3 linked regions of the Rhinolophus ferrumequinum genome follow. Each later gene encodes a partner of the first gene's protein in a complex. Links are inferred from orthologs where the notes say so. Each region holds a gene or a part of one and is shown in the gene's direction. Other genes may lie near its edges. The genes, in order: TBC1D23, STX16 and FAM91A1.

Evidence for each region.
Region 2: the proteins of TBC1D23 (region 1) and STX16 are in contact, whole or in part, in a crystal structure (PDB 8QQF), measured with the Homo sapiens proteins. The link is inferred for Rhinolophus ferrumequinum from reciprocal best matches to the Homo sapiens genes TBC1D23 and STX16. Residues at the interface, in NP_001186127.1 of Homo sapiens: Leu638, Asn639, Ser640, Val641, Val642, Lys643, Ile644, Thr645, Ser646, Lys647, Lys648, Ser661, Ser662, Ala663, Ile666, Thr683, Lys687, Ile690, Met691; in NP_001001433.1 of Homo sapiens: Asp209, Asp210, Asn211, Thr212, Leu213, Tyr214, His215, Arg216, Phe218, Thr219, Glu220.
Region 3: the proteins of TBC1D23 (region 1) and FAM91A1 are in contact, whole or in part, in a crystal structure (PDB 8JJ9), measured with the Homo sapiens proteins. The link is inferred for Rhinolophus ferrumequinum from reciprocal best matches to the Homo sapiens genes TBC1D23 and FAM91A1. Residues at the interface, in NP_001186127.1 of Homo sapiens: Arg533, His534, Val535, Ser536, Ser537, Asp539, Val541, Gly542, Lys543, Pro544, Tyr545, Arg546, Val548, Pro550, Val551, Phe552; in NP_659400.3 of Homo sapiens: Arg49, Glu60, Arg61, Tyr64, Asp84, Ile85, Lys88, Gly89, Leu90, Arg91, Ile92, Thr93, Phe95, Ser96, Ile159, Pro161, Tyr176, Ile177, Thr178, Glu179, Asp181, Ile182, Lys190, Asp194, Ile197, Asp198, Tyr216, Asn217, Lys218, Gly219.

What each region holds. Positions count from the first base shown.
Region 1 is NC_046285.1:29,495,182-29,502,745, forward strand, and holds the start of TBC1D23 (TBC1 domain family member 23), read left to right. Parts: upstream 1-4,490; 5' UTR 4,491-4,602; coding exon 4,603-4,655; intron 4,656-7,564. UniProt on the Homo sapiens protein: Putative Rab GTPase-activating protein which plays a role in vesicular trafficking. Involved in endosome-to-Golgi trafficking.
Region 2 is NC_046306.1:3,629,111-3,636,384, reverse strand, and holds the start of STX16 (syntaxin-16), read left to right. Parts: upstream 1-4,217; 5' UTR 4,218-5,012; coding exon 5,013-5,144; intron 5,145-7,274. UniProt on the Homo sapiens protein: SNARE involved in vesicular transport from the late endosomes to the trans-Golgi network.
Region 3 is NC_046297.1:60,985,469-60,993,473, forward strand, and holds the start of FAM91A1 (protein FAM91A1), read left to right. Parts: upstream 1-4,963; 5' UTR 4,964-5,217; coding exon 5,218-5,289; intron 5,290-8,005. UniProt on the Homo sapiens protein: As component of the WDR11 complex acts together with TBC1D23 to facilitate the golgin-mediated capture of vesicles generated using AP-1.

The sequences.
Region 1 (7,564 bases):
ATATACAGCAAAGTACAAAAGAAAGGCTAAGGTTGGAAATACAAATCTAGGAATTATCAGGTTATAGGTGGGAATTAACAACAGAGAAGTAGTTGATATTGTCCAGAAAAAGAAAAAAAATGTGTGAGCAAAATTATAGAGAAGAGATTCTTTATCTAAAAATTTGTAATGCTTTTGTACCTGTGGTATTTTCATATTCATTATATCCTAAGAATTCTTTTTAAAAATAAAATTTTGTACTCTCCTTGTGTGAATTTAAAATTTAGAACTAACAGTGATAATCTGTACAATTTAGCATGGGTATTACAGATACCAGCCTGCAAATAACAGTCACAGAAATTGTGACATATGCCTATATTTTTTATACATATTGTTCAAAGTACCTATCATGTAATTCCAACAAATTAACTTAAATGGTTCCTTGCTAATTATTTTATTTAGCAAGACAAATGCCTAAGAGGAAGGCTGAGTACAAGTGTTTGAGGGGAATGGAGACAGATTATACATGAATAGTATAGCCGTTGTCTAAGGATACTGTTTACAGATTGTGTGTGTTTGTTCTCACAAAAAGAAAGAAGTTAAGTCTCTCAAATTAAGGTTACTTCCACCTAATATATTGTTTACTATCCCTGTTTCCAACCAACAGGGTTTCAACCTTAATAAGAGCCTTTTATCTGGAACAATAGGGAATTAGTTTGGAATGAGGAAAGGGTGAAACAGACTCCCACATTAAAGCACAACCGTCCCAAACCCAAGAATGGGTAAATCTCTACCTAAATGTTTACTTTGGATCCATATACATCATTTATGAAGAGTCAACTTCAATTAGCAAAGACAACTACTAGAAGGATAATGGAGAAATAATAAAGAGTCTAGCTCCTCTTTATCATTATTTGCTCAACATTTTTAAATGAATTAATAGCAGATGTTGAAATTGATGCCAACTGTTCACTTATCATCAGCCAATGGGAATTAATTTGGTTTTGCTTATCGTTAAATTAAATGTTAGGCCTCAGTAGTTTAAAGTGTCTTGGAATGCAGGTCCTGATGGGATTTTAAAGTTACAAATAACTGAAGTAATTTTGATAATTGTGGAAACATTTGTCCTTGTAAGATAACAAGGAAAATTCCTGGGAAAGTTAAGAATTCTGAAATTCTCACGTGATATTTGAAGAAACAAAAATCAATGTTTTGTTATTTAACAAGAACTTTTGGGCACCATATACTTTCAGCCCTACATTTCTCATCTCAGAGGCTATGACAGAAATTAAAAATGGTTGCCATTGTCAGAGTTAAAGAATACAAGATGCTGTAGTGCCCAGATGAGAGGGCCTGCTAATCATTTTTCACAAGTTCAGAAGAGATAGAGCTTGAGGAGAGCTGAGATGATATGGGCAGGGATGTCAGGACCGAGTTTGATTGAACCAAGAAGATTGTGCAGGATTTAATGTTACCTCAAGTGGCCGTCAGCCTCTAAGATGACCCTTAGTGATTCTTGCTTTTGGGTATTCAAGCCTTTTTGTAGTTCCCTCCTATGCTGAATAGAGCTGACCTGTGTAACCAATAGGCTATTGCAGAAATGATGGAGTGTGACTTTTTGAAGCTAGGTCATAAAAAATATTGTGGCTTCAATCTTGGTCTCTCTTAAACTTTCATTGTAGGGGGAGCCAGGCTCCATGTTAAGAGGAACTTCAAACAGCCCATTGAAAGCCTCATTTGGAAAGGATGGTAGGCATCCTGCCAACAGCCAACACCAACTTGTCAGGCATGTGAGTGAACCACTGAGGACGTGGGCCCTCCAGCCCCACTGAAGCCTTCAGACAACTACATGACTGCAATCCTGGCCAATATCTTGCCTGTAACATCAAGAGTCGCTGAGCCAGAACATCCAGCTCACAGAATTTGTGACATAATAAATGTTCATTGTTTTAAGACACTGAGTTTTGGGGTAATTTTTAAAGCAGTAATAGTTTAATACATCTTATTAGGTCTTCATTTTTACTAAGAATGCATGAAAGTCAAGGAAAGATTGCTTGAATATGAATATCAGAAACTAGGATCATTTCTCTCTCTTTTTTAAAGATATGCTACAATAATATTATAATAAAAAATGAAATAAGTTCTACTACACTAACATAACAATTGACCATACAGATGAGTTCACAACTACCTGCCCCTGACCCCAACTAGCCATTTCTATGTAGGTGAATGATTTCACCCATTCCAAAATACTGCAAAGAACAACAACAACAAAAAACACATCAATAAAAATCCCCTTAGTTCATTTAACAAATATTTATTGAGACTAGACTATGTGTCATAATATGAATTAAGTACATACAATACAATATAAATTGCATAATTATATGGCACAGAGCATCAAATAATAAACGAAAAATATTTTTGTTTTTTAGTTTTATTCAAAACCAAAAAAACAATTTTTTTCTCCATAAAATATGCAATTTGATTTTATCCAAAGATAATATGAAATGACATCACAGCTTCCTCTTTGGGTGTGGGAATACAATTAGCTGCACAAATGCAGGCAGGTAACACATCCTATGCAGATGACTGGATGGGCCTTTCTTAGAGACATATGTTGGAATGGCTGCCTTGTGCACAGATCCAGATGGTCCCCACCAGTAACGTTACCTTACCACAGCACAAGGTCTAAGATTCCAACTCCCTCTGCTCCAGAGGGATATAAAGAAATATAGCAGGAGCTCCTAGTATTGATGAAATCTTCTTACAACTAGGAGAAGGCAGTAATATAAGAAAACACAGGCAGATGATTTCATAATAAAATCCCTAGCTCTTGAAAAGTTTTTTTAAAGCAGAAATCTACTAGAATTTAACAAATTCTACTTGCCATTCCATGCTTATACTTTTTTTTAAAAGCATGTAATAATCCAGATAAATGGCAGGACTTTGAGATTTTTTTCAAAGCACAAAAATACTCAGAAAGTTACAGCCATAAAAACTTGTAGCCAACTAAAAAATGTTTTGTGGGCAAAGTGTGGTCCTTGTCATCTCAAGAAGTGAGGCATGTTGGGGAAAATGTGGACAAACCTGATCCAGAGCAAGAGGAAGGGCTGAGGATCAGAACTGTAGCAGTAACTCAACAGCCTGGATATCAACAAGCCAAACTCAAGCAAATATGGTCGACAGTGAACCAGTGGAACCTGTTCAAGAAAGAGGAACCAAAGACATACCAAGGTTAAGGACTTGACCTAACAACCAGATTCCTAGAATTACCACTGGAATAACAGGATATCATCTTGGTGATTATCATGACCTTGGAAGGAATACTCAGTAGAACATTGAACAGGTTGATGCATAAATAACAGATGATACCAATATTCCAGAAAATATCATTGCTAAACATTTTCAATTGAAATCTTGTCTCCTACTGTCAGTAGTTTCCGAACAAAATCTGTCTATTGCTGTGACTAGTGTCTGGCTGTGTTTATCTTTGACAATTGTCATTTCAATTTTTCTATATATCATTCTCCTGCATTTTTTAAAAGCACTTATGCGTCTACTCATAAACAATATATTTTCTTGTCTATTTTTAACTCCAAATTTAAACTACCTGTTACCTATCCTTCCGCACTGTTTTGTTCTTTTAAGATCATGTTTTTCATATTTATCCATATTATTACATGTAGCTCTACTTCATCAATGTTGGTTTCAGGGCTTGCAGAAGTATTTTTGTAGGTCCATCCTCCTAGGTCTGTGCCCACCCCCGGGCCCATGAATGATGAAGGGGAGACAAAAGGCCGGTGATTGGGGGGGGGGTTGTGGTGTGGTCTGAGCCTGGACATGGAGGAAGCCGAGGTGGTCATCCATGCGGAGTGAAGGGGAAGTAGGGTGAGAAGGAACGTGGCAGCCCTCCCTCTTGGAACTCCAAGAGTTCTAGCATCCTAAATTTGGACTTGACCTTCCAGGTTGTTATGAAGATCTATTTATAAAGATGGAAGGCTGGAACATATTTCCTTTACTGTTTAGCTTAGAAAAAAAAAAGGTTAAGCATTCAGACATAAAATATGTGGCGTCCATTTGCAGTTTTGACAGGACCCCACAAACAGGAGTGGGCTTGTCATTTCTTTCACTCGACTTTCCTTAATTCCAGTTGTTACAGTAGGCAATGACTGAAACGTGTCTACCTCCACCTTCTTTGTGAAATTCCCACCTCCTCGTCTCCATCACTATTAAGGACTGTCGATGCTGACTTTGTTAAGTACGACGCCAAGATGGAATGAAAACACTAACTGGACGCAAAGAAGCGACGCTAATAAGGGCGTCCTACCGGGAGATGCTCCCTCACCAAGCTTCGCCAACCCCGCCCAGCCGGAGACCCCCGCGGCATTCTGGGACATGTAGTTTTTGTCGGGGCAGCCGTCTCCACTAAGTCTCCTCCCCCACAGCTGCGTTTGGCCCTTGGGTCGTCGTGACGTTGCGTTCCTCCAGTCCCTTGCCTCCTCCCTCTTCCTTTCCCTCTCCAGAGGCTCGGTTCCAGGCTTCCGAGGACCTTTTACGACATTGGGTCTCAGAGTTGCTCTCGGTCCACTTTTCGGCAAAGTGACGTGGACGTCAACAGCAATGGCGGAAGGAGAAGAGGTCCTGCCACTGTCAACGCCGAGCGACGACCGCTGGTGAGTGAAAGCCCGGAGCTGATTCTCACTGCCCCTCCATTCTTCCTTCTCACCACCCTACCTGTCTCTGAGGCACCAACAGGCGCCGGCATGGAACCGGAAGACCCGTCCTCAACCAAGTGCAGCGCCCTGCCCCGCCCCCTCTGCTCGCCGGGTCCCCTCAGCCAGCCGGCCGCCCGAGGGGCTAAAGCCGGACTCGAAGGGAGAGGGGTGTCGTCCAGCTACTGGGCCTCAGTTCGGTCCTCCAGCTTCGTCCACGGGTTTCCAAAATGCCTTGGAGAGGGTGGCTTCAGGGCTGGGTTTGGCCGGAGTCCCTGGCCGGGGGAGTAAGAGTAGGCTGGTTGGGAAGTTTCGCGGATGCGGATCTGAGGCACTAGCATACCATTTAAAGAACAGATCACTTGAAATGACTCCTGCGATAGTTGCCTGCGGGTTCAGAGGTGGAGGGACACTCCCAGGGAGGATCCCTCTGAAATAGTTGAGATTTTTTTTATCTTAATTTTTTTTTTTTTTTTTTTTTTTGTATTTCTCTTTTCGAGTTCCAACAATTTCCACCGTTCGTCTCTCTCATACCAGTCGTCCTTTGCCTTCCTGACACTTTCCTCACAGTTCGATCTTCACAGCTTTGGATGCGGTGTGCTCTTGCTCCTTTGCGTGCTTACCTGATTTATACCCGGGGTTGTGGGGAGGATCTCCAATAATTTTTTGCTAGACTTTAGTCACCCAGTGTCGTTAATTTTGGGGAAAAGCTCCTATTGTTGAAATAGTTGATCTTCACAATACATTTTTAGGGACATCATAAAATATGGAACCTTTAGAGGCTTGTCGAATTTTTACACTCGATCTAAACGTATTGACCACCTATATTAGTTTTAGATTTCCTTGTTCGCCGTATGCATACTGCTCACTGGCACGCTGTTTGCATAAAAATAATACAGGGCATTTGTAGACGTGGACTTTAATCCCCAAGAAAGAAAGGGAAACCATTGAAAGGGATTGATAATAGTAATTGAGAAATTCATGGAAGCAGAGTTGTTTGAATTAGGCCTTGAAAAATGAGTAGGATTTAGATCAGTGCTGTCCAATAGAAGTGTAATGTGAGCCACCTATATAATTTCAAATTTTCTAATAGCCATATTAAAAACTAAAAAAGAAGCAGGTGAAATAAATTTTAGTTATCCATTTTATTTAATCAAACCTATCAAAGTAGAATTAGATAATTTTACATGTATTTTGTACCAAGTCTTCAAAACACAATGTATATTTTACATTTACCCTACATCTCAATTTGGTATTGCCATATTTCAAATGTTAAGTAGCCACACGTGGCTAGTGACTAACATATTGGATAATGCAGTCAGATTAACAGATGGAAACCGTCTCTGAATGGAGTAATAGCACGAACAAGGACATAGGCAAGAAAACTAATGATTTGTTTGGAGAGTAATGACTAGAACTTCGTGAAGTTTGCTGTTTGCGAAGAATGAATTGTTGTATCATAAACTGTAATCAGCTGATTGAAGGCCAGGAGGGGAAATGTTTGTAGAGTTAAGTGTCTTTGAGGAGTTCTTTGGTTAGGATTGTGAGCATGAGTCTGGTTCACAGGGGCAAGGAACATGGAATGAATGATTGCTAGAGGTAGCATTTGTTCTCTTTGGTGTGGCTTTCTTTTTTTGCTTTTTTTTTTTTTTTAATGAAAGGAGGTGTTCTGTGATTTCTACTCTCTCTCCATTCTTTTCTAATTGCTCCTTTTTCTCTACTCACTACTCACCCGTCCCCTAGAAATGAGTCTGAATAGAGTCAGAAAGGACATTCAGAATTGGAGCCATAGGTTCGGTAAGGCCTTTCCTTTTAGAGTGCTTGGTGAATGGGTTGTTAGGGAATGGGGAGGGTTTACTTCAAAAAAAAAATGCTATCACATTTTTATTGTAACTTTTTCAGATGGAAAATTTTCTGAAATGTGTTAATACATCTCATTGCCTAACCTAAACTCATCTTAGTGACTTAGGTTTATCGAGTTTACAAATGGTAAGTGATAAGAATAAAACTAGGTCTCTGTCCTCAAGGAATTTGTGGTCTAGTTAGGAGAAGCACGTTTAAGAACATCAATTACTGTTACAATTCTGTAATACAGTGAGACCTTTGGGTCCTGTCTAGGCAGGAGGGTGCATTGTTGCTGTTAAATGTCCCTATACAGCCATCCCTTTTTGAGATTGCTTTTATTAGTCTTTCCCGTTTCCTTTCTTTGTTGTTAGTGGTATCTCCCAGTTTGTTCCTAATCTGAGAAACTAGGTAGCTGAATGTGTTAAAATTGTGTATACATTTGTAAACACAAAGGCTCAGGATGAGGCTTGAAAATCTTAAAAGTATAAGATGTCACTTTTACTTATATACTGGTTTTCAGTTATGTTCTAGATCAGAGCTTCTCAAAATTTAAATTTGCGTTCGGTTTTCCTGAGGATCTTGTGAAAATGCAGATTCTGATTTAGTAGATTTGCTTGGGACCTGAGATTTTATATTTCTGACTGATTAGTTCCTGGGTGATGGCATTTCTGCTGGTTCATGGACCACATTCTAGTTAGCAAGGTTCTAGACGATGTATATTTCAGTTCCCTTTGGTGACCACTAAACTGTTGTCTGTGCCTATGCGTTTTTGTTTTTTGATTTGTTTGTCTTGTTCCTTTGTTGCCTTCAGTTTTATATCCCACATATGAGTGAAGTTACTTGGTTCTCGACTTTTTCTGTCTGACTTATTTTGCTTAGCATAATAATCTCAGAATCCATCCATGTTGTCACGAATGGCATTATTTCATCTTTTCTTATGGCCGAGTAGTATTCCATTGTGTATATGTACTACATCTTCTATATCCAGTCATTTATCGAAGGACACTTTGGTTGTTTCCATGTCT
Region 2 (7,274 bases), on another chromosome or scaffold:
GCTTAAGAAAAAGTGAGAAGAGAAACACTGAAAATGGAGACTATCTCATCAATTAGCTTAATTTTTTTCCTGCCAACCAAGAAAAGACCCTCATTAGTTACTATTAGTGATGGCCTGGTGTAGAGAGCACCTGTTTTCTGCTGAACGTCGCTGGTGTGGGCCAGAGGGAGTTGTTTCAGGGCCTCAATCAGGCAGTGACATGATGAGATTTGTGCTCTAGAAAGGTCACTGCGGCTGCAATGTAGAAGGTGGGTGGAGGAAAAGAGAGAGTGGTTAGTAGGAGGCTGTTGGAGAGACACGGGTAATGAGAACCAGCATTTGGGCAGAGGCAGTAGGGACTGGTGGAGCTGGGCACAGCCACTGCTAGATTTTTAGAAATGGCCACTGAATTGAATTATCTGGTTAAAAAAAAAAAAAAGAAAAGCCTAATGGACTTTGGACAACACAAAACTGTTGCCTCTCTGGAGTCTCCGGCTTGAGGGAGGCATCGTGGCTAAAGACAGAGCTCGGGAGTTTTCAGAGGTTGGAAATACTCAAGGTTTTGAGGAGCTATTTGGGGAGACAGAACACATGAGCTGCTGTTTCCTAAATCTGGCCAGAATCTGCCTATTATGTCAGATGTGTGCAAAGCAGACATTCATTAAGCTTGGGGGCTTTTGCTGCTGCTCATCTTGATAAAAGAACAACCATTTGTCTTTCTATAGGCACTAGAAAGGCCAAAGTTCAAAGGTGTCCAGTGGCTGTTTAAACCCCTCTTCTATGTGAGAGTACATCGTAGGCACGTCTGGATTCCCAGGCCACAGAACAAGAATCTTGAAAATGTGCTTGGAGAGTTTCCAGTTCCCACCACCATGCCTTGCTCTTTGGAGTTTGCTGTGCTGCCTTCCGGGGAGACTGGAGCCAACGGGAGCTCTGTGGCAGCAAGACGGCTGCGGTAATCGAGCCATGTTGCCCATTTACGGAGCACTTACTGTGCGCCGGGCCCCAGTGAGGGCTTCGTGAGGCCTAGCTCATCTAAACCTCCTCACCCAAGGAGGTGAGTAGCACACTGCGGACCCATTCTGTCTGACCACTAACCCAGCTGCACTAGAAACCTTCTTCCGTGCCTGCCATCGTCCCCCTGTAGTCAGGGAAGTCCATCTTTATGGTTCCCTGCTGCACAGATTAAGATGCCAAGAAGACAATGAAACACTTGTCTCCAAAAGTGACTTCTTGGATCCATTGGCAAAATGTTAGAAAGTGGGTCCGAAGCCCAAGAAACAGGACACCCAGGCTCTTTGAGCTTGGGGAGTATTACAGAATCCTACCCCAGGCCAAGAATGAGTCACAATGAAAGCTTTTAAAATATAAAACCATCAACCTAGATTTCAATTCCAAGGAAACACATACTTGGCCATGAGGGAATGCTTTAAAAAAAAAAAAAAAATCAGGCTTAAGCCACTTGACAGGAAAATAAAACAGCCAAGGAACATTCAAGTAGAATGATTTACATCCTGTCCCCTCCCGTCACCTCCCTTCCAATATGGGTCAGAGCAATCTCTGCCAGTCTGCACGTCCTCTCCGGGCTCCCCGCTTTTCACTTAACACTATTTCACGCATGCAATCCTGGGCCGGGTTAGAGCTGCCGGGTGCCGCCTTTAGGTTGCTATGCCAATCTCATGGATTCTTCATGATTTCCCTGTGCTTGGGCTCTTGGTTTGCTTGGGGTGGCTGTTTTGGGAATACGAAGATTTTTCTTCCATTATTTATGTGTGCAAGCACTGTTCATTTCTCTCGAAGAAACGGAAGCTTGATTGATTTCCTAACTGTAAGAAAGAAATTGCCCCGCGATAAATATTTAAGGCTGATGGGGAAGGGTGACCACCATCTGCTAAAACACCAGCTCAGGAATTACTCTCCCAGGGAAGGGAATAAATGGATAACCATCCTATATAATATTTGCTCAGTACCTGATAGTTTACAAAGGTGTTCACTTATCTCACTTGATTTTCACAATAACCCCGTAGAAGTAGACAGGGCATGGATTACAAGGATTATTAAAACCCCACATTTTTTCTTCACAGATAAGGGCTATAAAGGCTTAAAATCACTTGAGGCATGTCGCAGAGTTTGGTGACTGAAACGCGGGTCTCTAATTCATTCATACACATATTTTAAAAACATTTATCCGGAGCCTATTCCAAGCCAGAGGAAATGGCAGTGGGTACACAGATGAATAAAACACGGTTCCTGCGTAGGAGGAAGATCACGTTCTAGCCTGGGGGAGAGAGCCAGGAGAAGTAAACAAGTCTCTGCTTTGCAAGGTGATGAGTGTGCTCAAGAGAAAGGAACAGAGTGCGGACCACATTTCTAATCTGATGTTCTTACGAAGACCAGCTCGGTTGTTATTTACAACATCTGTCCTCCGAAGGGGGGAGTAAAGGGTCTTAGCTGTGTGCCTGGGGTCAGCTGTCACTGGGGGGAGCAGGGGGTCAGACGAAGTGTGGGGATAGAGCTCTCCCTCATTTGGCAAATGTGCAAATTTTCCTGGGTGTCGAGCTAAGCAGGCTCCCCGAATTTCCCTCCACGAGATAAATCAGGGTCTCTGCCTTTAGAGCGGCCGCAGCCTCCAGCTCGGGGAAAGCAGGCTGCTCGCTGTCTGCGGCTTACACGCGGCGGCGAGACGCGCGGCGAGGTTTTGTGCCGCCCGGGCAGGGTCCAGGCCTGGTAAAGTGCGAGCGAGCGCCCTCCCTCTCCCATCGCCCCGGCTCTGGAAGCCACAGCCCCTTCCTCGAATGTACGCGCCAGCCCGGCTCTCTGGCTCTCCCGTTTCAATGGTTCTTTTATTCTACACATTTTGATGTGTTTCCCAAGGATGTTTTTAACATTAATTTTTAGTTACACAAGTGACGCATAGAAACATTGTCTTTTAGAGACATGTACATGTATATATGTATATGTACTGGGTGGCCAGCGATTCGGCGGAGCCGGTTCAGGACCCCTCCAGCAGCCGTCCCAGGCAGCTGGCTGAGCGCCGACACCGGCTTTGTGTGGCTCCTCTTTGCAAGCCCAGCGCTTAGCACAACGCTCGGAAAGACACGTGTGTGTCAAGTTTGTGTCATGCAGGAACAGATGCAGGGATGAGGGCCCGCTCCCGGATTTCGGGGCGGTTTTCCTTTGTTAAGACCTCACTCCCGAGCCCTGCCCGGCGGCGGCCCCAACGTGGTCTCGGCTCGCCCGAGGAGGGGAAGCCGGCCCTGCCTGGGTCGCTGGGCTGGGGAGGCGCGGCCGCCCGGCTCCGCGACCCCAATCCGTCCAGCCCAGAACCCTCCATGCTGGGGTCCCGGGATGCAGGCCCGGCGGGACTCGGGTCTCCCTCGCTGGGCAGCTCCTGGCCTCTGCTCGCCGCGCTCAGACTCGGGCGGCTCGAGTCCCACGCGGACGCGCGGAGCCCCTGCTCGAATGCCGTCTACCCGGGCCCCTGGCTGCGAGGAGGGGTCGCCTGCCGTCCCCCGGCTTGGCCCAACCACGGGAAAGCGTGGGGCACCGAGCCAGGCCCAGCACGCCGGTGTGCGGGCCCAGTCGGCAGCAAAAAGTTGGTGGGGGTGGGGGTGGGGGCTGCCCAAGTTTCTGGGAACTTTTCGGCTTGAGATTCCACAACCCTGCAGTGCCCCCTACAGAAAGCGGCGACCGGGGAGGGCGGTCGCCCCCTACGACCCCCGATTGCTGGCGGCCTGGCGCTCTAGCTAAGCTCTAGCTCGCTGCTGCTTTCCCCCCCCCCCCTTGTTTTTCAGATACATCTTTTTTTAGAATTGAAAAAAAGCGAGCGCGAGCCGCTGCCTGCAGTGGAGCGTGCTCGGCCTCCAGAGGCAGTCGTCTCCAACTTTTCCTCTCCCGCCCCAACTCCGCTCGCGCCTCCAACTTCGGCTCTGCTGGAGCCCAAATTTGCCTGCCGCGCAACTCCACTCTAATGTACGCACCCAGGCCACGGGCAGCGGTTTGCAGCGTGGGGGCCACGCTCCCAAGGCTCAGGCCTGACCGCTCGCCCGTTTCCCGTGCTTAGGCCCAGTTGTGAAAGTGGAAACCAGGCGCCCCGGGAGCACCCCGGGAGGGGGCGGAGCGCTCCCGCGCCCCGGGGCAGAGGGGCAGGGAGCTCCCGCGCCCGGAACGTTGCAAGCAAGGCTTGCGAACGTTGCAGGGGGGCACTCGCGAGAGACGGACAGGAAGAGGGCCAGGGGGGACGCCAGAACCCGGGACCACAGTACGGAAACGGCCCGGGGCTGAGCTGCAGTCAGATCCGGGGATGGAGGGAGCCGGAGAAGAGGAGTGAGGAGGCCGGGAAAGCAGGCCGTGCTGTCCTCCTGGAGGCTGCAGCCTGCTGTGACAGTGGAGGACCAGTCCACCCAGAAAGGGAAGGGGTCAGGAGGTCGGGCCTGGGCTTTAGCAGGCTCAGACAAGGCCCAAGGAGGGAACACCAGGCACCCTAGAGTTTAGGGCCCAGGCTTGGCTGGGGTTGTCCAAAGGGGGCCTAGACCAGGCCTCTAGTAAGGAAACTGAGTCAGAATCAGGCCTTAGGGCTGGGCCCAGACGCGTGCGAGCCAAGTTAGGGGTAGGGGACCAAGACCCTCGAGGGTCTCCGAGACTAAGGGGGGTAGGGGGCTTCAGGGCCTCCGAGTCCAGAGCTGGATTGGCGAGTTAGACGCTTGTAGATCCAAGGTTGGATTGGGGTGGGGTCTCTGGGACGTTGGCTAGCGACGCAAGGATTGGGGGGATTTAAGTGCTTAGAGATCGAAGGCAGGACTTGGGTAGGGGGAGTTAGACAATTGGAAAGCCTCGGTGGTTAGTTGAGGAGGGGTCTTTGCGTTTTGGCGAAGCGCAAAGCTGCGCCTGTTTGGCTTGAGGTCTGAGGCCTTGTCAAGAGAAGCTGCTGTGAAGGGTGGGCCGACTAGGCCAGGCCAAGAGAAAGAAAGTGAACAAATCAGGAATATAAGTGGGCGGGGGGCCCCTGAGCGGGGGGTCACAAAGGGTGAGACATGGCCACCAGGCGTTTAACCGACGCTTTCTTGTTGTTGCGGAATAATTCCATCCAAAACCGGCAGCTGTTAGCCGAGCAAGTGAGTAGTCACACCACCTCCAGCCCTCTGCATTCACGTAGCATTGCTGCGGTGAGTCTCCCGGCGGCCTCTCCGACACACGCACCGTGTGCACTGCGGCTCTGCCTGTCTGTCTGTCTCTGTCTGTCTCTCTGTTTAAAAAAAGAGGATAAGAATAATACGGAAATGCAAGGTCTCTTGGCTACGGTCCTGGAGCACCTATAACCCTGGATGGGGAAAACCAGTTTTAGGCCCTTGCTCCATCTCTGCCTTGCCTCTCTCCTCACTTCCGCAACCCTCCCAATTCCCCCCTCCCCCCCCCCGTCGTCACTGCACGACAATCCGCCTCCAATTTACATATGTTTTAACACTAAGATTTGGAAGCACGGAGGCTTTCTGCAGCCTTTTTGTTTCGTTTTGTTTTAAACCCCCTCCCCCACCCCCCCATACTGGGCCTCACTTTGGTTCTAAGGGCCGGGTTGCGGAATCGCAGATCCTAATCCTTGCAAATGAAGAACACCCTCCCCCAAACGAGGAAGGAGTTGTTGGGTTTTTTTTTTCCCCCTCCGGTTTTCTTTTAATGGCCTCGCAGCCCTCTGTGTGGCCGTGTTCCCTATGAATAATTGCTTCACTGTTTTTCCTGGGGGCTTATGTTTGTGAGACTGTAAGGTGCTAGATTCTTCGTTTTCCATTTCCCAGACAGGAAATTAAGCTTTTCCCTCCATTCGAACTTTTTTTTTTAAAAAAACATAATGTGAAACATAATTGTGAAAATGAACCCCTAAATAGCCCATATTTTTGATTTAATTAACCTGAACCTTTCTTTAGCGCAGCGGTAGAATCTTTTACAGGGAGGGCTTGGGAAGATGACTGATGTTTTTGTGTTTGTTGAGGAGGGCTACTTTCCCTTTCTGAGCCTCAGTTTTCTGCTGTTAAATAAGGGGTGTGGGCGGTCTGGGTGATCTGTACAAAACAATGATGATTATTAGCCTTGTCGTATCTTAAATGGAAAAGTGAAGTTATGAAACTAGTTTGTAATGCGGGCTCCTGGCTATAGATAGGCCAGGTTTGAGTAGAAGCAGCATTGAAGAAGGAGGGAACAAAGTCATCCCAAATCAGATTCTTGGGGATTATACTGGAAATATACAGTTTTGGGAATGTCACACTTACTTCACCTCTTAGGGACTGTATTGTCTTTGAGTTTTTGTTCTTTACGACTTTATCTAAATGCTTCAGTAAAATTATGCTATGTGTCTTCATTATTGACAGAATGTCTACCCAGACAATTTTTCTTTTTTGTAAATCACAAGTGGAAACTCTTTGGCCATATTGTTCCTATAGAAAAGCTATTCTAAGCCGTGTGAGCAGTTTTAGGAATAAAATCACGTATACTCAGATAAAAAAATCATAGAAAACAGGGATGGAGTGTGTTTAGGTTATTATTTCCTTAAGAATTGGAAGGATTTTTGCCTTTGTAAACTGAAAGAAATGGTATTATACTGAAATAATTATAAAATGGGAGTGGGCTGATTCCAGGCTAATTTTGAAAAGAATATTCTGAAATAAGCCAAGAATTAGAGAGTTGAAATTGAATGAATAAAATCCCACACTGGAACTTGAGATTTGTTAAAGAAGATGTAAAAATCACATGTTCCTTAAATGGATTGATTTTATGCTACCTCATTGGGGGGGAAAAACAACTAAAACTCGTGTCAATGTTTCTAAGGTATCAGTTTTAATTGATTTGTTTGCTTTTAAATTTTTATAAGATTCAAAACACCCTGAAATGTTGGGTAACATGAGACTTTTTTTATTATTAATCAGTAGGTCAGACGGTTTAAAAACCTGGTGTCCGAGACGGGCAGCTTTTAAAAAGTGCATCTCTATCTCAAACCGATTTTTAAAATGGTTTTCTAAGTAGGCAATTAAAAAAATGCATAAGCTAAGTCAAATAACTAAAAACTAATAGCTAAAGTACACGGTTTGGAAAAATAGATATGCCAGAAAATGTACAGATACATGTAGATAACTCAGACAATTTCTTGAAATTAAATTTCTAAATCAAACTAAAGCTACATGTCTAAGTCAACATTAAAAATATTTTCTGTATGTTTTGCCATTTAAAATGTTACATACTTATACTAGTCTGACTGTTTAACATCTCAGATCATAAACAATCAGAGCATTTAAAATATTTTATGG
Region 3 (8,005 bases), on another chromosome or scaffold:
CAATACCCAAGGAAGAATTAACAGTATTTGGGACTATCAGATTCTGGAGACAAATTAGAGAAAGAATTTCAAAGACTTCAAGGCCTGAGAGAATGGATTTGGGTAAAAGTCCAAAATAGTCAGAAATGAGGAACTAGACAGCTTGCGAGTTTTAGGTATAGAAATGTTGAGTGAGATCAACCCCTAGTGGGCACCTGAACTATTACAGTTGTTCAGCATTTGTGTGGGGGTGACATGGCTTGATATTGGAGAAGTACATTTCCACATCAGGCTACAAATGTTCTATACACACTAACTTCAAATGGCAGAAATATAACATGCTCTATGTTGTACATAAATATACAATATTAATATTTCCCAGGCTCTATGGCAGAGGATCTCTCTGCCTCTCTCTGAAACAGACTTGGAACTCTTCCGTTGTTTTCCATCCTTTGCAGAAGACAATCCTAGAAACTCCATTATGTAGGAAAAAACGGTCCCATGTGATCTGGCCCCTTCTCATGTCTCCATCCTCACCTTCTGATTCTTTAGGGTTCCATTCACCCTGTCAGGATGAGAAGTTTTCCAGGTAGAAAAGGAGAGGAAAGCATTCCAGAGAGGGGTATTGTACGTGCAAAGACCTGAAGGGATTACACAGTGTGGCATATTTAGGGAATTGCCAATGGCGTAGTATTTCAGGCACAGACAAGGATACAGAAACATTTCTTTCCTCCCAAATAAACGAAGTGTGAGCGGGATGGTTTTCACAACCAACATCCTCCGTGACAGGCAGTGGAGGTAGTGGAGAATGTGATCCGTGAGAGAGCGTGTGTTCTGTCTGAGCCAGGCAGCCTGTCCTCGGCTTCCCTGACTGGCATGGGGAAGGGTGTCTAATGCTGTGGGATTGTCCGCATTTTCAAGAGAATCCTCAAATCTGGATTTTTATGAGAATTTTGCTCCCTGCAACATCTATTCATTCATTTATTATTTATCAAGTGCCAACGATGTGTTGTTCTAGGCCTGAGGACACAGCAGAGGAGGAAACAGACAAAAGCCCTTACTTCGGGGACACTTCCAGTCTAATGAGAGAGATGAATAATTTTTAAAACTATGTTAAATATATTAGATGGCAATAAGTGCTCCGGAGAACCATAATCCAGGGGAGGCAGCTGAGGAGGACCGGAGACGTGTTACAATTTTGAATAAGGTGGTCAGAGAAGACTTAAGTGAGGAGGTGACATTTGAGAGCTCAGGTGTCACATAACTAGTTCACTCCTTCAATACGTTCAGTGATATTTATTGAGTACTTATGGGTGAGGCATGATTCTATACGCTGGAGTTAGGCTGACGAACAAGATTCTTGCTGAGAAGACGGACAATGAACCAAGTAGGATAATGTCAGACCGTGATTTCTTGCAACCAAAGAACTAAACCAAGGTAATGTGTTAGAGAGAGGAGGGGAAGACGTGGCCAGGTTGGACAAAGCAGTTGGAGAATGCCACTCTCAGTGCAAGGGGGTAGAATGAAGGAAGCCTGCTGTGTAAAGTTCTGAGGAAAAGCATACATGTAAGGCCAAGGGAACAGCAAGGGCCAAAGCCGTTATGTGGGAACAAGCTAGACCATGGTGTCAAGCATCACGGGTTGATGAATTGCCATTCTGGAGCAGAGCAAAGAAATATGTGGCAGGGAAACCCATGGCCAAGGTCAAGCCCAAGCAGAATTGCGAAACAGAAAATGTTTCCAATGGCTCCGTCCCCTTTCTTTTATCTACACACCATTTCCTCCTCTCTAGGTACTTTTATAGCCTCATTTAATCCCTGAGTTCTTCCTCTTTCAAACTTGTCCTCAGAAAAGGATGTGATAGTTCATGTATACTTAAAAAAAAAAAGAAAAGAAAAATGAGGCTAAAAAGCTCTTATTCCTCCTAAGGGTATTTACATTTAAATTACAATGATTTAATTGTGAAATTTAATGCATCAGCTGTTTGGGTTTTGGAGTACTGTTGGAGGAGTATATTATTTTCCTGCGGCTGCGGTAACAAATGACCGCAAATTTAGTGGTTTAAAACAACATGGACTTATTATCTTAGAGTTCTGGAGATCACAAGTCCAAAATGAGTTGGCAGGGCTGTGATCCTTTTGGAGGCTCTGGGGAAGAATCTGTTTCCTTCTCCAGTTCCAAGAAGCTGCCCACATTCCTTGCCCTGTGGTCCTAAGTCACTGTGAACTCTGCTTCATTGTCATATCTCTATCTCTGGCTCTCACCCTCCTGCCTCCCTTTTATGAAGAACCTGTGATTATATCAAGCCCACTTGGATAATCCAGGATAATCTCCCCATCTCCAGATCCTTAAATTAATCACATCTGCAAAGTCTCCTTTTCCATGTGAGGTTCCATATTCTCAGGTTCCAGGAATTGAAACATGGACACCTTTGGGGCCATTATGATATACCACACATAGAATAATATTCTGGAGTCTGAAATTAGATCACCAGACACCTCCTTACTTCCAGGTTGTTTCTGCTCATTATGTTTGTTGGAATTTCAGGAATGAAATAGTTCTGTAGTGCTTCTGAAGGGCAGCTTGCCCAAGCCAACTGGGTAATTTTCCTTAGTCTGAGTTGGTAAAGCCAGGTAAGATTGAATCTCATTGCACTTGTATTTTTGAACACATTGTTTACCCACAAGGATAATTTGGATGGCAGCTTCTGAGACGCGGATTCTAACCCTGCAGTTTCTGACTTCTCTGGAATTTGAAAAGCAAAGGTCTACCGAAGCAGCAATAGCAGGGGTCTGAGTCAAGGACCTAAAGGGATGGAATTATCGTTTGCCAAAAAGGCGTGATGCTGTAATGAGTGCTATATGTAGAGCCCAGTGAGCAGTTGTTCCTGGTGTTTGAGGGAGCAGTCCTGTTCCTGAACTTCCCACTGGAGGAAGACTTCGAGCCCTGTGGGTTAACCTATGGTCTCTGAACTACTTTGTTTCCAGTCTCTCAAAGACTGGCAGTCATCTTGGGGAAAATGAGGCATACCTGCACTTTAATTAACACCCTGTATTTCATAAGCCAAACTCTGTCACCAGTTTCTACTCTGAAGGGCTTGTCGTTTGGATTCTTCCCATACATAGCTTTGACACATTACCATTTCCTCCCTTAAATTTCTGCCTTTCTCAGCTACCTACTGAGTTGGAATCTTTTCTATTCTACCTACTGAATTAGAATCTTTTCTTTTCATAGTCAAAATTTCAAAGATCTGTGTCTTATTGATTCAGTGGGTGTCCATCTCCACCATCCCATCTACTTTCGTAGTTTTTGATGTGTCCACACTGTAGCCAATATTTTTTGATAAACAAAAAAGATGAATTCAGCAGGTGTTCGCCCGTTTAACTTATAATTAGTTAAAATAATTGTTTACAGGGATTTAAAAATGATGTTGAATTTAATTTTCATTGTTGCATTGCATTATACCAGAGTTAGACTTGGGAAGAATGTGAGTTCTTCTACTCTTAGAAATATTGAAAATTATTTTTGAGGGAGATTTATGTTGTTGACTTTAAATGAACATGATCTGAATTGGAAGAGGAGCCAGAACAACAGTTCAGTGAGTGAGAGTCTGAATCGAGGAATTGAAAGGATGCCTCTGGCATGAGAGCTTTGGGCTTCAGTCTGGCTCTGTCACTACCACCTGTGTGATTTTGCGAGCTAGTCAGGCAGCCCTGCCAAGTCTGTTTCCTCTATTAAATCGGGATAGTCATATTCTTTCATAAGGTTGTGAGGAATAAGAACCTATTGCAAGTGAAGGGCTTACTATATAGCGGACAGGTAATCAATATTTGTTGAATAAATGTCTCGTGGTCAGAGTTCTGTTAAATTTAGTTATGATGACAAAGATCTGTAAACACAGGATCCAAAGCAGTTATGGGCTCTTACAGTTGGATAACCTGAGATTAATACATCTATGCTAGGGCAATGTGGACCGCATTTATTTCAATTCATCAGACATAGTGGGGTTCCTGCTATGCCTCAGACAGCCAGCTGCTAAGGGGTGGTCTGGACGCTTATTAACATTTCTGCATATATTAAAGTGTCAGTGTATAAAAACCAGTGTTTAAAACTGAGAAGTAGTTGCAAAAATACTGAACTTGTCTCTGGTTGCTGCCAGTAACAATGGTCATGGATTTGCTAGTAAGCCAGTGTAACAAATTCTGGAAGGAATTGTTTCCAAAGATCCTCTCACTAGAACTGAAATTAAGGTAGGCTGATTTCTGCCTTTGAAAAGTGACTCTGGAGGCATTCGTATGGAGCAGAACAAAGCAGTAACCAGAAGCTGCATGCAAGGATCTTTCTCTGTCTCCTGGATTCCCTTTGGGTCTCCCCCCATTTGTCAGCACCGGCTATTTAAAATTTCAGCTCCCTGAATCTCTGCATTTTAAGAATTTGGACCTTCCAAGGAGAGTCCAAGGTTTCTTTTCCACAAGATGCAGCAACTACCTACAAGGAATGAAGGAACACCACTCCCTCGGCTTCTCGCTCAATTGAGAAAGCTCTGACTTAGAAACTCTTTCGTGAGCCTGGACCCCATCCACCTGGCCCGGGTTCAGGGTTGGCCATGGAGAGCTCCCAGGGGACTCACTGCTCTTGAACTATTAAGCCAGCTATGGCCTCCTCAAGTCGTTCCTTCTCACACAACTGACCCTAGAGCCTGTAATCGCCTGCTCTTGGGACCACCTGGGTTCACATTTTGGGGAAAGTGGATCATCCAACAGTGGTCATGCAGACCCAAGCTCCTATCTTAATTCATCCAGAGACTGACAGCGGGAGGCGTAGCGAGTGGGTGGGGGTGGGGGTGGAGCGGTTACCTGGGTACCTCCGGGCACCACCTGGTTGCCCCGCCCCTCAGTGTAAAGGGCAGGGCAGGAGGCCAGCCTGACGCCCCGCCCCCCAGCCTCGCTCCAGTGGGCGGAAGTGACGCAAATCCACAGCCATTTCCGGCGGGCCGAAACTAGGAAGAAACTTGGAGCTACCGAGGCACCTCTGCCACCTCTCTCCGCTGCTCCTGTGCCCCGTGGCCCGGGCCGCGCCGAGCCGTCGGAAGCCCTGGCCATGGGGCAGCCCGGGCCTTGCGCCGTGTGAGGCGCGGGGCCTCCCGCGAGCTCCCCCGATAGGCCGAGGGCGGGCAGGCGGGAGGCGTCGTTCCTGCAGCGGTCGGGGCCGCAGCCGCCGGCCTGGGCGCCCGGCATCATGAACATAGACGTGGAGTTCCACATTCGGCACAACTACCCTTGGAGCAAGTTGCCCGCCAACGTGAAACAGGTACGGCCGCAACCTGGGGCCGAGGCCCCGCCCCGCCGTCACCTGCTCGCTTCGCCCACGGGGCTCCGGGCTGATTTCCGCCGGGTGACTCCCGCCCTTCCCCCCAACAGGGTCTCGGGAAAACCGCCCGGCAGCCCGGGGATGAGGAGGGGGCGGCTCTGGGGCCACAGACGCAGGATGGGGTCGTTGCAAAAAAAGGATGGAATGGTATCATACCCTGGACTCGCCTGGCGCCTTTGCCCGAAGCCTCCATTCAACCAGGCACGGGCTAGGCGCCTGCGAAACATTGAAAACACTTGACCCCCAGAACTTCAGGATGGTGGGAAACAGGCATGCTTACAGGTGATGGCAGCGCATACGTACCTGTGGTACAGCATATGTGGGCACACAGAGGAGGGACGAAGACATTGTCCAGGGAGTGTTGGGAGGACGTGTGGAGGAGACATTTAAATTGGGCCTTGCAGGATGAATAGGAGAGAAGAGGGGATAACGATTTCCCAGGGAGAGAGGCGTTTTAAAAAGCTTGGAAGAGTGAAAGAGCAATGTTTCGACAGCAGCAAGCGACTTAATATCACCCGAGTTTGGAGGTGTAGATACATTGATCTGTTTGGAGGTGTGGTTTTCTGAGTGCGTCCGGGTGGTAGCAGAGGAGGCTGGAAAAACAGTCAGGGCCAGAGTTTGAAGAAGCTTTGTACTTCATTTTGTTTGACGTTATTCTCTAGACAAGATGGGTTTGTGAAAGATGTTTCATTAAGAGAGTGACATGAGGTTTTTGCCTGAGAGTTAAGTCTCAAATGCTGGAGCTTAATTTTTACAAAGTTGTTTAACAAATATTTATTGAACACCTGCTGCGTTCTATGCCTTATTCTAGGTGTGGTAATTTGCAGCCGTCATCAAGATAAAGACCCTGCCTCCATGGAGCTTACAGTTTAGGAAAGAAAGATAGTAAATGAATTGCTACATAACATGGCAGGTGGTGTAAAAATCTTATGAAGGTCGTGATGCGTTTGCTCCATATGAGGCACCGTTTCTCTCATCATAGATTGACCCTAAAGTGCCTCCCATTCTGCGTGGTTGAGAGGGAAATTCTCTTTTCCATTGGGCAGTTCTATTTGGAAAATTTGGCATGGTGGTGGTGATGGTGTAAGGTTATTCCTTTGCCACCTCTCTCAGCTTGGGGGCTTAGTTCTGGGAAATGAATAAGGTTTGGCAGCGCATCAAATTGCAGAGCAAATGCTTTTGCTTTAAGATATCAAGGAGACAGGAAAGTAGAAAGATAAATTTAAGGGACTCAGAAATCTTGGCTGCCCATGTAGCATTTAGCTTGACCTGGAAGAACAAAACTCTAAACCTGAAGGAATAAGTTTCCCTTGTTAAGCTTCAATGAAGGCTTTGGTGGACACTTTTGTTCTTTAGGGTTTTGTTGGCATATCCAAAGACCACTGGAAGAACCAACAATTGTTCTTTTCTCTGTTTCCATCTTTTGTCTACTCTTCCTTTCACAAAAATAAATGTAGCATAAGGAAGAAAGATGGATGGTTCAATTATGTCCAACATGAATAATTGACCTTACTTAATATTGGCAAAAATGTTTTTAAACCTTAGTCATGATTATTAAAAATAATCACAGAACAGTGTTAAAATTAGATATAAACGTGACATCAAATTGAAATTTTTTGGGGGGTAAGGTCTCTTAAAAGAATAGCTGTTTTAGCTTAGGATAAGTTTCCACTTGTAGAAGGTGTTGCAAAGCCCATCTGTATTTAAGTTACTACTTTAGTCTTTCTCTAGCCTTGCCATTGTTTCTCTAAGTTACTGCCCCAGCTTTTATCTTTGGTCTCTTGCGTTAGAATAGGACCCTCCCATTCATTCTTCACACTATACTGGGATCAGGTTACTAAAATGCAAATCCAATCCTGTCACTACCCATCTCCTATAGATTACTTGCAGCTTCTTTTTGAATCTCAGATATTAACTCCTCCAGCAAAGTTTCCCTGACTTCCTAAATCTGGATCAGTTGTCTCGGATATGTTACCACTGCACTGTATTTCTTACCTGTAGCACTTATCCCGCTATGTTGCATTTTCCGGTTACATTACTTGTCTCGCTTTTGTATTTTAAGCACCTATCACATATTTAGCTTATAGTAAATATTTTTGGAGTGAATGAGTGATGGCATCAGTAAGAGATTTTTTTCCAGGTGATAAGTTCAAGCTCAGGCATTTTATAAGTGGGGAATATTCCTTGTATGGAAAGAATTTGCTTTTTGGCATTAGAGGTATTAAGTACTTTGATTGAGTTTACATTCACTTTTTTGTTTTCAAATCTTCAAAACAGTCTTTCTATATTTTTGGTATAAAAAAATCCACAAGTGCACCGCAGTATAGAGACATGTGACACTGAACTTTCATAACAGCCAATGATACAGTCAAACATCACATGTACAGAACACGAAATTTAGATGAACTGAAATTATAGGATAAAATAAAATAAAACCCAGTTGCCGAAAACAAAAATCAAAATATTAAGGATCCCTGAAATACTCTTAACCCTAATGAGATGTCACTGGACTCAAGTCATTTGTAGTGAGGCATTCATAATATGACCTCATTAACCCAGCTTAGGAATTCTGGGGAGCCATGAGTGGCTGCATCAGACACTCAGACAGTAAATGGCAACCAATTTTTTATCTGAAAATTTCCCTTAATTTGTCTCT